2 linked regions of the Daphnia pulex genome follow. The protein of the gene in region 1 purifies or fractionates together with the protein of each later gene. This does not show direct contact. Links are inferred from orthologs where the notes say so. Each region holds a gene or a part of one and is shown in the gene's direction. Other genes may lie near its edges.

The links.
Region 2: the proteins of tyrosine-protein kinase ABL1-like (region 1) and neogenin-like purify together in Drosophila melanogaster (affinity purification with western blotting; 3 studies listed by BioGRID). This does not show direct contact. The link is inferred for Daphnia pulex from reciprocal best matches to the Drosophila melanogaster genes Abl and fra.

Annotation. Positions count from the first base shown.
Region 1 is NC_060021.1:8,612,133-8,618,662, reverse strand, and holds the start of tyrosine-protein kinase ABL1-like, read left to right. Parts: upstream 1-2,371; 5' UTR 2,372-2,793; intron 2,794-2,869; 5' UTR 2,870-2,912; coding exon 2,913-3,099; intron 3,100-3,114; exon of another isoform or gene 3,115-4,807; coding exon of another isoform or gene 4,808-4,889; intron 4,890-5,723; coding exon 5,724-5,975; intron 5,976-6,084; coding exon 6,085-6,383; intron 6,384-6,479; coding exon 6,480-6,530. UniProt on the Drosophila melanogaster protein: Arm and Abl proteins function cooperatively at adherens junctions in both the CNS and epidermis; critical for embryonic epithelial morphogenesis regulating cell shape changes and cell migration.
Region 2 is NC_060026.1:12,668,918-12,674,147, reverse strand, and holds part of neogenin-like, read left to right. Parts: coding exon 1-81; intron 82-384; coding exon 385-706; intron 707-808; coding exon 809-1,334; intron 1,335-1,414; coding exon 1,415-1,739; intron 1,740-1,831; coding exon 1,832-2,196; intron 2,197-2,368; coding exon 2,369-2,524; intron 2,525-2,595; coding exon 2,596-2,758; intron 2,759-2,827; coding exon 2,828-3,022; intron 3,023-3,233; coding exon 3,234-3,275; intron 3,276-3,424; coding exon 3,425-3,598; intron 3,599-3,680; coding exon 3,681-3,935; intron 3,936-4,338; coding exon 4,339-4,422; intron 4,423-4,789; coding exon 4,790-5,230.

The DNA of each region.
Region 1 (6,530 bases):
TAGTTCATGTGACCTCGGACGACGTGGTTTTTCATAAAAATAAAAGGGGGCAACGAGTGGAGCTGCAGCACACACCAACAACACACCAACCCACTCTGGTCTCTGCCGCCGCCTTCAGTTCGGTCTTGCAGCTCACGAACGACAACGGTCCGGACACGTTCTGCCTCAGAACACTATACACACACATTCTGGGTGTCTCTTGCCTTTTGGCTTAGTTCCCAACCTGCGCGCGGCCCATTCTTTTTTTTTTTGGTCAGGTGATTTAGACATCTAGCGGTCATTTGAGCAAGTTTCAACTGTCAGTCAATAGGTGGCGCTGGGGAGTCGAATCGTAAACAAAAACAATCGTGTTTGTTTGCATGAAAAAATCGAGAACAACCGTTCGTTCTTAAGGTTTCTCTTGGACACATCCGTACGCCAACACACGACACGATGTGTTTAAAACAAGATCGTTTGCACCGGTTGGTACACACGCACAAACTGTGTGGCGTTGTTTTTCTCTGGCAAACAAACGAAAAAGGGGGAGAAAAAGGAAGACCTTCCCCAGTCAAAAACCGGGAAATGATTCCAGCGACCGGGAATCCTCTCCTCACCTTTCTCGATATCCTGCTTCATTTTTTTTAAGTGAACACGACAGTTATCAAGTAGAAGAAGCCAAAGATGTTTCTCGGGGGGTTGTCGAATCAACGGGATATTTTGAATATGCGAGGGAGAGCTAAGAAGAAGCTCAGAACCAGGGCACGTAGAACATAATATACCGCAAAAGGGGTTCGTTCATCCCTTCTCCAACCCTGGAAATGAGTTATTTGACGTAATGTCAATATATTAAGGCAACGGTCCACAATATGTTGACAACGACTTCTTTTTTAAAAAGAAAAACTCTTGCAGCTACAGCACTGTACGGTCCGTGTCCAGTGGGCGGTATATTACGTCAGGGTGCGCTCAGGACGAGCCAAGAAAACCCAGCTGACATTCCAACCCCGAATCTCCTGTACACATTCTTATGGGGACAGAAAGAATTCTCTATCAGACGCTTGTTCAGAAAACGTCATCCGGCTAGCGCAGAATCGATACACAAGAGACGCGGAAATGAGCTTGACACAAGTCACATAATGTGTGCCGTTGTCCTGACAATCTTCCTTTACCAAGTGCCAAATAGACAAGAAAAACGTGTCGAACAGAAGAAGAAAAAACCAGAAATGAATACAAATTTGTTGGGTTTTTATCGCTTCCAATGTTTCCGACAACTACACAATCTTGAGAGACCCGTTCAGGACGGCTGCAATCCGTTTAGAACTTTTAGATATGACATTCTTCTTCTTCACGGGGGCGAAATGTGATTATCTGCGCACGATGACTTTGAAAGCTGCTGGAAATGTTTCATTTGAAATTGTTGGAAGGCAGGAAAACGATGAGGCTTCTGGGATTTTTTTTAACAAAGAACAGAAGGTATTATACAGAGACGACTGTTTATATTTGAACCAGTCAAAGTAGCTCAGAAAGACTGGGGGCCTGCTTAACAATAGCTAGCTCTTTCAGCAGCAAAAGAGTTCCTCTCTATATCTCTCCCCCTCACTCAGTCATTCAAAAATGTCGGTTTGGAGTTTTTCGAGTGATGAGGAAGGGAGAGGGGTTCCCTGTCCGTTGAATAGCCTCAGCACGTTCCAGCTGGAACGATCTATATATACGAGCCCTATAGCTGAGAGGGCTCGAGTCGTTGCCAGTGTGTGTGAACATTGTCTGGAGGTAGATAACAAAATCCCTGTGCCTAATTAGCGCGTTAGTGTTACACAAGAAAGACGAAAAGGAACCCAGCAAAAGTCAAAAGGAACATCGTCACTCGTCAGAGTCTTTGATTTCCCGAGGTCAGCAGCATCTCCAGCTGCTCGGCGTTGAAAAGATAAATGCATTTTAACACAAATCTTTCTTCGCGGTCTCAACTTTTTTGTTCTTCAGCAATCAGCTTTTCTTTTTTTTCCCGGAGCAGAGACTAGAACACAGTTGGATGTAATTTGTTTGTTCAGCAGCAGGGTTCGCTAGATCTAAAAGTCGCCAGATATCTCATCGTGCATCTCCAGCAAAGCGAATCGAACGAACGACCGCGATTGTGTAACGCGCCGGCGTCAACAGCAGCAACTCTGTAACAATGAGCTAGACTCTTTTTCTTCTTCCACTGGTATTCTAATATGAAGACACAAGGAGGAAATCTCAATGATAATTAAAAAGACAGCAACACGAGACGGGTTACATGGGTCTTCCGTTTCGTGAAAAAAGAAACTGTGACATTTGATGAGAGTAGGAAACGAGTACGACGAACTTGTTTTTCTTTTTCTCTTTTTAATATTCAGAGTTCGGCAACGCTGTTCCGCTAGAGCTGAATTTTGTAGATGGCACTATGGCAGCCATACACCGGGGGCTGCTGGAGTGAAGTCTCTCGTATTTGAAGCTTTTTTAGTCCGAGACGTTTTCTCGGTTCACCGTTGACGTTGAAACCAAAAAAGAAACACACCCTCGTTTTTCAAGTCACAAACATTAGTCGTTGTTGATCGGGTTTTATTGGAATTTGGGTGTGCCGCAGTATTTGTTTTTAATCAGACCTGGATTCAGCATAGTTGTGTGTGTGTGCCGTCGCCCTTGGAAGAAATAATCAACACAAAAGCCTATAGCTCTTGTCTGCTATAGTCTTTTTTACCCTCAAAGTGTAACACTCCAGTTTCGTTTATGCCGTTTGTCTCCATCGCCTGTCATCACAAATGATACCTATCTAGACAGAACTGATAGCCCAGTTTGACTGTAAGTGGATTATTCATCACACACACAGCAGAGAGCCTGACCCCAAGACATAACCATCTGATTCATCCTCTTTCAGTTTGCTGCTCTTCCCAGCTGGCGATGTGCATACATTCAGGGCAATGGGAGCCCAGCAAGGCAAGGAACGTGAGCGGACATCCACAGCAGCTGGCTCCCTGCACTCGCTCACCCTCACATCTACAGCTGGTTCTAGACCGGTGAAGCCAAAAACCAACTCCTTGAGACCGGCCAGGGAGAACTCTTCAGCTACTCGTTCTCAGGCCTTCAATGTGTTTGTCGAACACAATGGTATGTCAATTGTCTGTTTATCTTGCCACGATACTCTTGTGCCGTCAACCAGGCATGTGGTTGTTTGCTCCTGTCAAATGAGTTCATGCCACTGCAACTTGCAGCGATCCAACCTTGAGAGTGTGAATATGAAAACCCCCTTGTTGTCATTCCTTTTAGAGTTTTTACTAGGCCATGGAAACCAAACCTACTGCTAACCTACATTCGCCCCTGGGTTACTGAATCGCTCCGTAATCGATAGACTAGATTATGCAATTTGATTGGTCACACAGTCTGCATTCGCCACCGTGAGGTGTTGTTGTGGTTGATCTGTCACCATAGTGACAGGGCAGTCCGCCTACTTTCTATGCAGATCTGAAATCGCTTGTTGGAACTGGTGCGACTCAAATTATGCACACGAGGCCAGAGAACGTCAGATAATTTATTTATGATTCGACCCACGAGAGACTCGGTTTGTCAGGTGATTTTCGTTCAGGCTTTTCCGTCTATCGTGCCAACTTTGCATCAAGAGAGAAACCGTGAGAATTGACATAGTTCGTTCGGTTGACACACAACTCCAAAACTCCCCTTCAACTCCCAAGAGTGATAGATGATGACGAAGAAGAAGAAGAAGAAGGAAGAATCATGGGGAGGTTCAATTACTCAGAGTGTTTGGAGACCGGAGTCACGGGTATGGCGCCCGTCTTCCTCCTTCCAGATGCCTCTTTCCGTTCCAACGAAAGAAAAAGAAACAAATTCCCAACTTAATCTGATTAGTGTACAAGAGACTCGGTTCTCCCATCTCTCTCGCACCAATGAACGGGCCAAGAATCGCTCTTTTAAGTCTTTGTGTGTCTGTGTTGTGTTGTCGGAATGGCATTATTGCAGCTTTCGGATACGACGAGGCTCTTTAACAAACCGTCTGGACGTTGTCCTAAAAAACAAAACAAAAAAAAATCTGGCATTTCGGTCTGCGATGCTCTTTTCTTGGCTTCCTCATCATTTTTCCCAGCTGCCATGTGAGATTGCCTTGGACGCCAGAACCGTGTCCATTGGCAGATGCAATCTCGTCAGTTTCTTATTCATTCATTCATGTTTTGAAAGTTTTATTTCCTTTGACTTGTTGTTGTCTGTCAGAAAAATTACATTTCTCTTCAATTGCTGAGAAAATGGGATTTTTCCGTGCACTTACTACACAACCACAACAACAACGACGACGATTTTGATAAATCGCATGCAGGGTGCCCTGGACCACTACGCGTTGCTCGTATGTGTGTCTCTCTCTCGACCAGCAGCGACCGGAACGCTGAAAAATGACGGCCAGATGTCGTGCTGCGTTTCAGGAGTCGACTGTGGGAGGGACCTGAAAGGGGCCACCGCAAAAAAGAAAAGAATTAAAGAGAAAAGAGGAAAAAGAAATAACCGGTGGTGCCTCGTCCAACCGACGATTCGTTCTAATCACGAGCCGCAAAAGGAGATGAGGGGAAATTCAGTCTCTCCAGTTACTCGTCACTGGACGGACATTATCCAGTCCTTTCTCGCCCTCTCCTTTTTCGCTCTATGCGTGAGGTGTAGTGAACTGTAGTGTGCAGCCTAGAAGAAGAAGTAGTTATCTGGTTTCGGTCAAAGTTCCTTTTTCGTGAAAACCAACCCAAAAAATTGCCAAAAAAGAGAAGAAGAAGAAGAAGAGTCAAAGAAGACGCTGCTGCTGATTTGGTCGGTTTGCGCCATGTCGAATCCCGCCCTCTTGCCGCCCTCGGTCATGCGGCTCCTTCAGATCCTTTATCCTCCCGGTGCCAAGCCTCGACTTGGTAAGAACCTCACAAGTTACAAGCAAAAGTAAAAAAAAAAAAAAAAGTCAAGAGTCAGCCATTATTGATCGGCTGCTGTACCTTATTATTGATGTTCCGCCTGACTTATTCCTTTCGATCCTGTTTGTACTGACCAAATGCTGCGGGTCGAATTTCTGGAAACGGATCCTATCCGCCACGGAAGATTTGACTTATTTACTCTCAATGAACCCGTCTACTTTGGTGTAATCATGTCCGCTACTTTTTGTTGTTGGTTTTTTGAAACGAGAGAAACGATCTAGTCGTGTCGGGGAGTGCCAATTTAATCGTGAAAAATGCGGAGACTACAACAACAGTTTGCGTAGTTGGCAACTTTAGGGAAACTTGTAATGGTAGCCGTTGTGGAACAAACAGATACTTACCGAACAGCTGTTGTGCCGTGACGTCCGACCGGTTAACTGAGGTCAAAACGTGAAGATTTTTCAATGTCTTATTTTGAAAACTAGCAATTTCTAATGCAAATCCTTCGTTAACGACGGTATCTGGGGGGATTATATGGAAGAAAAGAAAAAAAGAAAAGAACACGACACACAACAGATGAGGCCAGCAGCTTGTTGGAACAGGGGCGAATTAAAAACCGGCCCTGTCTTGTTTATTACCGTTACATACACTGTGGCATTGCGTGCCATTGGCCTAGCGGTTTGAATAGTTTCCATATGAGGGTCAGACATCTTGCATGTTTCGTTCTGATTTCTCCCTTTGTTTTTGTTTCTCGTGTTTTCATTTATTTTATCTTTTTATTGTATTTTATTCTTTTTTTTTGTTTTGTTTCCTTCTCGATTGTGTGTCACACAGAGGCATTGTTGCAGAACCGGCCACTGCCAACGCTGCCCGACTTGGCGACGGGCACGTTGGACATGGACGGTGGCGGATCGTCGGGACTAGGAGGCGGCCACTGCGGTACCACCTTTAGCCTTGAATCGGCGCACCGATGGACGTCGAGAGATAATCTGCTCCATACCGAACCCGACGATGAAGACCCGCAACTCTTTGTCGCTCTTTATGACTTTCAAGCTTCCGGCGATAACCAGCTCAGCTTGAAAAAAGGTGCCGCTTTAAAAATTTTTTCATATCAACCAGACATTCAAACGTTATTTTTTTCTTTTCCCCTTATTTTTTAAATCTCTTTTTTATTATTATTATGATCATTCTGTAGGCGAACAAGTGAAAATTCTGAGCTATAATAAAAGTGGAGAATGGTGCGAAGCTCATTCGGGTTCGGGCAGGGTCGGCTGGGTCCCGTCCAACTATGTGACTGCTGTCAATTCCCTAGAGAAACACTCTTGGTATCACGGACCAATCTCCCGCAATGCAGCTGAATACTTGCTCAGTTCGGGCATCAATGGCAGCTTTTTGGTTCGGGAATCGGAAAGCAGTCCCGGACAACGATCCATCTCACTCCGTTATGAGGGTCGGGTGTATCACTATCGGATCAGCGAAGACTCGGAAGGGCGGGTAATAAATAAATCCAATCCTATTGAATTGCAAACCTCCCCCTCTAAACTTGTTTGAATGTTTACTTTACTACTTTTTTTTTATTTTTTTAAAAAGGTTTACGTCACTTCTGAGAGTCGATTCCGGACCCTGGCCGAGCTCGTCCAT
Region 2 (5,230 bases), on another chromosome or scaffold:
ACTTTGGTATCTACCAATGTATCGGCTCCAACCCGGCCGGCAATGTCCAGGCCGCCGCCAGTTTGACCATCTATTCATCAGGTACGAAAATGAATTGATTTTCCCTTCCGTCGTCCCATTCAACTGTCCGTCGTCCCAACTAAAAGATTCCGCATGATTTATCACATTTTGTTTTATGTGTTCTGTCCAAAACCGGCCATTAACGTGAGAGCCGGCCCTTTTTATTTGTGTTGCATGATCAATGTTTTGACATTTGTTTTTTTCTTTTTTCTTTTTGAATTGATTTCCCCCTTGTGTCCGTCCACCTTTCCCTTCCCACCTGGTTCTCTCTCTCTCCATGTGGCATGCAATTGTGGCGATGATTGCCGTGGGCATGATGATAAGATTACGACAACGGCACGTCGGCTAACCCTGGCATGGATTTGACGACGGCTACATCTCCTACTGCCGACTCAGGGACACGCGAGGCTGCCGCTGCTGTGCCGCCACCACCCGACCAGACGTCCGAGTCCAGCCAAACGGACGGTTCGATCACGCCCGACGGTAATAACGACGGGTCAACGTCGTCACTGCCGTCGGCGCCCAGGGATGTGGAAGCCCTGATTGTGTCGTCTCGCTTCGTCACGCTCAGATGGAAGGAGCCCGTCAGGACCAACGGACAAATTATTGGCTACTCCATTTTCTACCGACAGGAAGGATCGGAGCGGTAGGGACCAACCAAACCACTTGGCCCGTCTAATGGCCCCCCTTTTTTTGTGTATCCGCTCGATTAGATAATCAATTTTCATTTTCACTTTGAATCTCCCAGGGAACGGGTGGTGAATACGAGCCGATCGAGATTGGAAGAAGTCAACGTCCCTGGACTGCAGCCGGGCAAAAAGTATTCACTGCGGGTGGCAGCTTTCAATGAAGCCGGAGCCGGAGCCAGCACCAATTCACTGGAAGTGGAAACTCTGGTTGAGCCGCACGTCCTCCAAGCGCCGGCCAATTTGAGCGTCCAGGCGGTGTCGTCCGTCAGTTTGATGGCCAGCTGGGAGTCGCCGGATCTGGCGGCCGCCGGTGGAGGAGCTCCTCACGGCGGACAACACTTGCCCATCCGCAATTACAAGTTATTCTACATGGAAGTGGGGTCGGCCGAGGAGCACGAAGTGGTGACGAGTCACACGAGCCACTTGATTCACGGACTGAAACCCTACACGGAATATTCCGTTTGGGTCGTCGCCTTCAACGACAATGGACCCGGGACCAGCACCGAAGAGGCCACCGCCAGGACCTGGTCCGATCTGCCATCCGACACGCCACAGAACGTCGTCGTCGAACCGGCCAGCTCTTCGGTATGAAATTATTTTTTAATTTTTTTAAATTCCGGCTCAAATTTGTAATTGAATTGTGTTTTTAATTCATTCAAAATCAGAGCGTCATTGTCCGCTGGGAGCCGCCGTCGTTGGAGAATCAGAACGGCATCATCACCGGCTACAAGATCCGTTACAAGCCCAAAACTGGGCGTGGACGTTTGCCTTTGAATCCCGGCTCGTCCAACGCCGGGTCGACGGCCACGACGGACGGCAGCCGACGGCTTTACACGCTGACTGGACTCGTGCGCGGGACCGAGTATCAAGTTCGTGTCTCTGCCCTAACTGTCAACGGTTCCGGTCCCATGACTGAATGGATGACGGCCGAAACTTTCGAAAACGACCTGGACGAGAGCCAAGTGCCGGAGCCGCCCAGCTCATTGAGAGGTAAGAATAAATAACTCGGGTCGGGCCGATAAATTCATCAAACAGATTTCGGATGATTAAAACGTGACAATTTTCGGTTGACCTCCATCCAGCTCGACCGATGACGAATTCGATTAGCGTTTCGTGGAATCCGCCCAGCAACCAGAACGTCATGGTCCGCGGTTACACGATCGGCTGGGGCAAGGGCATTCCGGACGTTTATTCGAAACTGGTGGACGGCAAGCAGCGGGCGTTCGTCATTGAGAAACTGGAAGCCAATTCAGAGTACGTCATCAGTTTGAGGGCTTACAATCAAATGGGAGACGGGCGGCCCATCTACGAGACGGTGCGGACGCGCGAGGAATCAACCCCCGAGCCGCCCAGTCCCCTCATTCCGCCCGTCGGATTGAAAGCCATTGTGTTGTCGTCGACCACCGTCGTCCTCTACTGGACGGATACCACCTTGCCTCGCAGTCAGGTATACTACTTTAAAATTGCAATGGCCATTGCCAAACAACTTTGAATGTTTTAAGGACGAAACTTTCATTTTCATTTCTGGTGTAATGTCGAAAGGGAAAGGAAAAATTGCGGTTTTACTTTTTTCCCCCAAAAAATTGTAACCGAAAATTTCTCTTTGCTGTTTTTTTCAGACTGTCGCCGACTCGCGGTACTACGTCGTGAGGTACACTTCGAGCCACACGTCGAGCAATCCGCGCTACCGTTACATGAACTCGACAGTGCTCAATTGCATGCTGGACGATTTGAAACCCAACACTCAATTCGAATTCGCCGTTAAAGTCATCAAGGTAAAAAACATTTGTTTAAATTATTTTGAGAAAAGTGTTTATTTAATTTATTTTTTTAAAATCTCAAATAGAATCGTAGAGAAAGTCCCTGGAGTTTGGTGGTTCCAAACACAACATTCGAAGCGGCTCCTTCGTCGCCGCCACGCGATCTGACGGTCGTTCCGGTCGAGGAGAATCCGTCGGCCATTAACTTGAACTGGCAGCCGCCCAAGCAACCCAACGGTCAAATTACCGGTAAGAATCGGAGGAGGCTAATTCTTTTTTGTTATTAAATGATACGAATGAATGAATCTTGTTCTCCAGGTTACGTCATCTTCTACACGACAGACAGCTCGCAGCGTGATCGAGACTGGGTGGTTGAAGGTGTCGTCGGGGATAAGATGACCACGACCATCAAAGGCCTGACACCAGATACCGCATACTTCATCAAAATCCAGGCCAGAAATAACAAAGGATACGGCCCTTTCTCCAGCATTATTCAATTCCGCACCAATCCAAGTACGTCATTGCTCATTTCTTTTTTTAAATCGTTTTGATTGTTTTATTATTTGATTTTGCTTGTTGATGCATTTCATTGTTATTTTTCCCCTTAGTAGTCTTTATCAATTGATTCATTATCGTTTGGCATGATCCGAGTATTTGTTTTATTCAACCTTTTTTTTCTCGTTTTGTTTATTTTACCGTCCTTCCCTGTGGTCTTAAAATTTAGGCAACGGTATGACTTATCACGACGCTACTCCGGTTAGCAGAGGTAAATTCCTTTAGCAGCATGATTCCTGCATTCATTATTATTTGATTTGAAAGTCATTTTTTTTTTTTTAGTTTATAGAAATCTTTTAATCCATCCGGAATTTTCTTAATTTTTCATTTTCTTTTCTCCGTCCCTTTTCAACTCAACAGATAGTCGAGGCATATCCAGTATGACCTTGTACATCATCCTGGGTATCGCTACTGGTATCATAGTCATCCTCCTCATTGTCGTGCTGGTGGTTGTCTTCCGCCGCAGAGATTCCGGAGTGACCAACTCTCCGGATCGTTCCAAGAAAGGCTACGTCAAAGGCAACGTCAAAGGCGGTAATAAAACTGGCCAGAATTCTTTTGACTTTGATTGTGTCAAATTATCGTTATCATTACTAACAATTTAAATTTTTTCCAGGTCCAGGCAAACTGGGCAAGGCTGACAACCCACCCGACCTTTGGATCCATCACGACCAGATGGAGATGAAAGGATTAGACAAATCCCTGCACCGTTCCGGCTCCGTCAACACGGTCTCACCTCTCAACATGCGCCGATCTCAAGACCTGGACTCCCTGGACGGCATGGCCTCCGGATCAACTGCCGGTCGTGGCCCCAGCACGGCAGCCAACGACTCGCTCGATCGCCGGGCTGCTTACGTGACAGCTTATGCAGGTATGTCGGGGAGACATGGCCATCAGTCGATGACGTTTTGGTCTTTTTCTTTCTGCATTTCCGTCAACTTTGTTCACATTAGATGAAATCTGCTTTCCATTTGATTTTGGCCTTATTACTTTTTTTTTTGGTTTCGTTTATTTGAATTATTTTTAATTTTTGATCTAATTTGTGCATGGCTTTGCTCGGTTCTGTTGAAACTCTGCAATTATTTGATTTTTCTGTTTGGTTTTTAATTTTTTTTTTATTTATTTATCATTTTGCATTTTTTTTTCTTTTTAACCTCTGCATTAAAAAAAATCAACTGAAATCCCCTTGATGACCCGCACTCGCTTTCCTACTACCCCGCCCGCCCATCCCACACACAAACAAACACACAAAATAAACAAAAAACCCTACGCAGGAAGTAGCAACTCACTCAGGCGTCCCATTAAACCCAAGAGCCTTTTGATTAGTGTCGCTACCACCACCCAACCTGTCCGCGAACGTGAGTATACACCGTTATCCGATTTTTCAGTTTCTACCCCTCCTTTTAAAAATTTTTTTTTTGTTTTATCTTTTGTTGGTCGTTTCATTAATCTTCTGGAGCTCATTTTATTTTTACAAATTTAGTTCTTACGTTTTTATTTATTTTTTTCCCCCTCCCAACTTTAATTTTATTTCTGTACGTTTATTGTCTTCTTTTGCTTATTTCCTGTCGTCTGCTTTCATAATTTTCCCATAAAAATTTTTCTCATCCGGTTGTTGTTGTTGTCGTTGTCGTCCCATTTACTTTTTATGTGCAACTGAACCGGTTGATTGCTAAACTTTTATTTTGTTTGTCTTCTCTTTTTTTATCTCACGCGGGCCAACAGCTGTGGCAACGGTGACACCGATCCCCAACGGCAGTCTGAATCAACACAGCGACTCCCGGCCCGTCTATCCGGCGGCGCCCCGCCCTGGAATTTACCCGTCGGCCGGACCTTCTGCTGGCGGCCGGGCTCACGTGACGGTGGACGTCAGCGCTCCGCCATTAGAGCCGACTTATGGAAGTCAGGGCAGCTATGACAGCCGTTCCAGTCTCGTCCATCCGCCGCCAGGTAATATGGCCATGATGGTGGGCCAACCGCCGTCTATGGCACCTCCGTCGTCGGCTCTCATGGCCGTCGCCGATGCCAAACGCAACACTCAACTCGGTCATCCGCTCAAGAGCTTCACGGTTCCGGCTCCGCCTCCGCAATCGGCTCCGCCCGTCAAGATCGTCTCGCCAAACAGCGGCAACAACCGCCAATCGGTCAACCCCATGACGGCGCAGT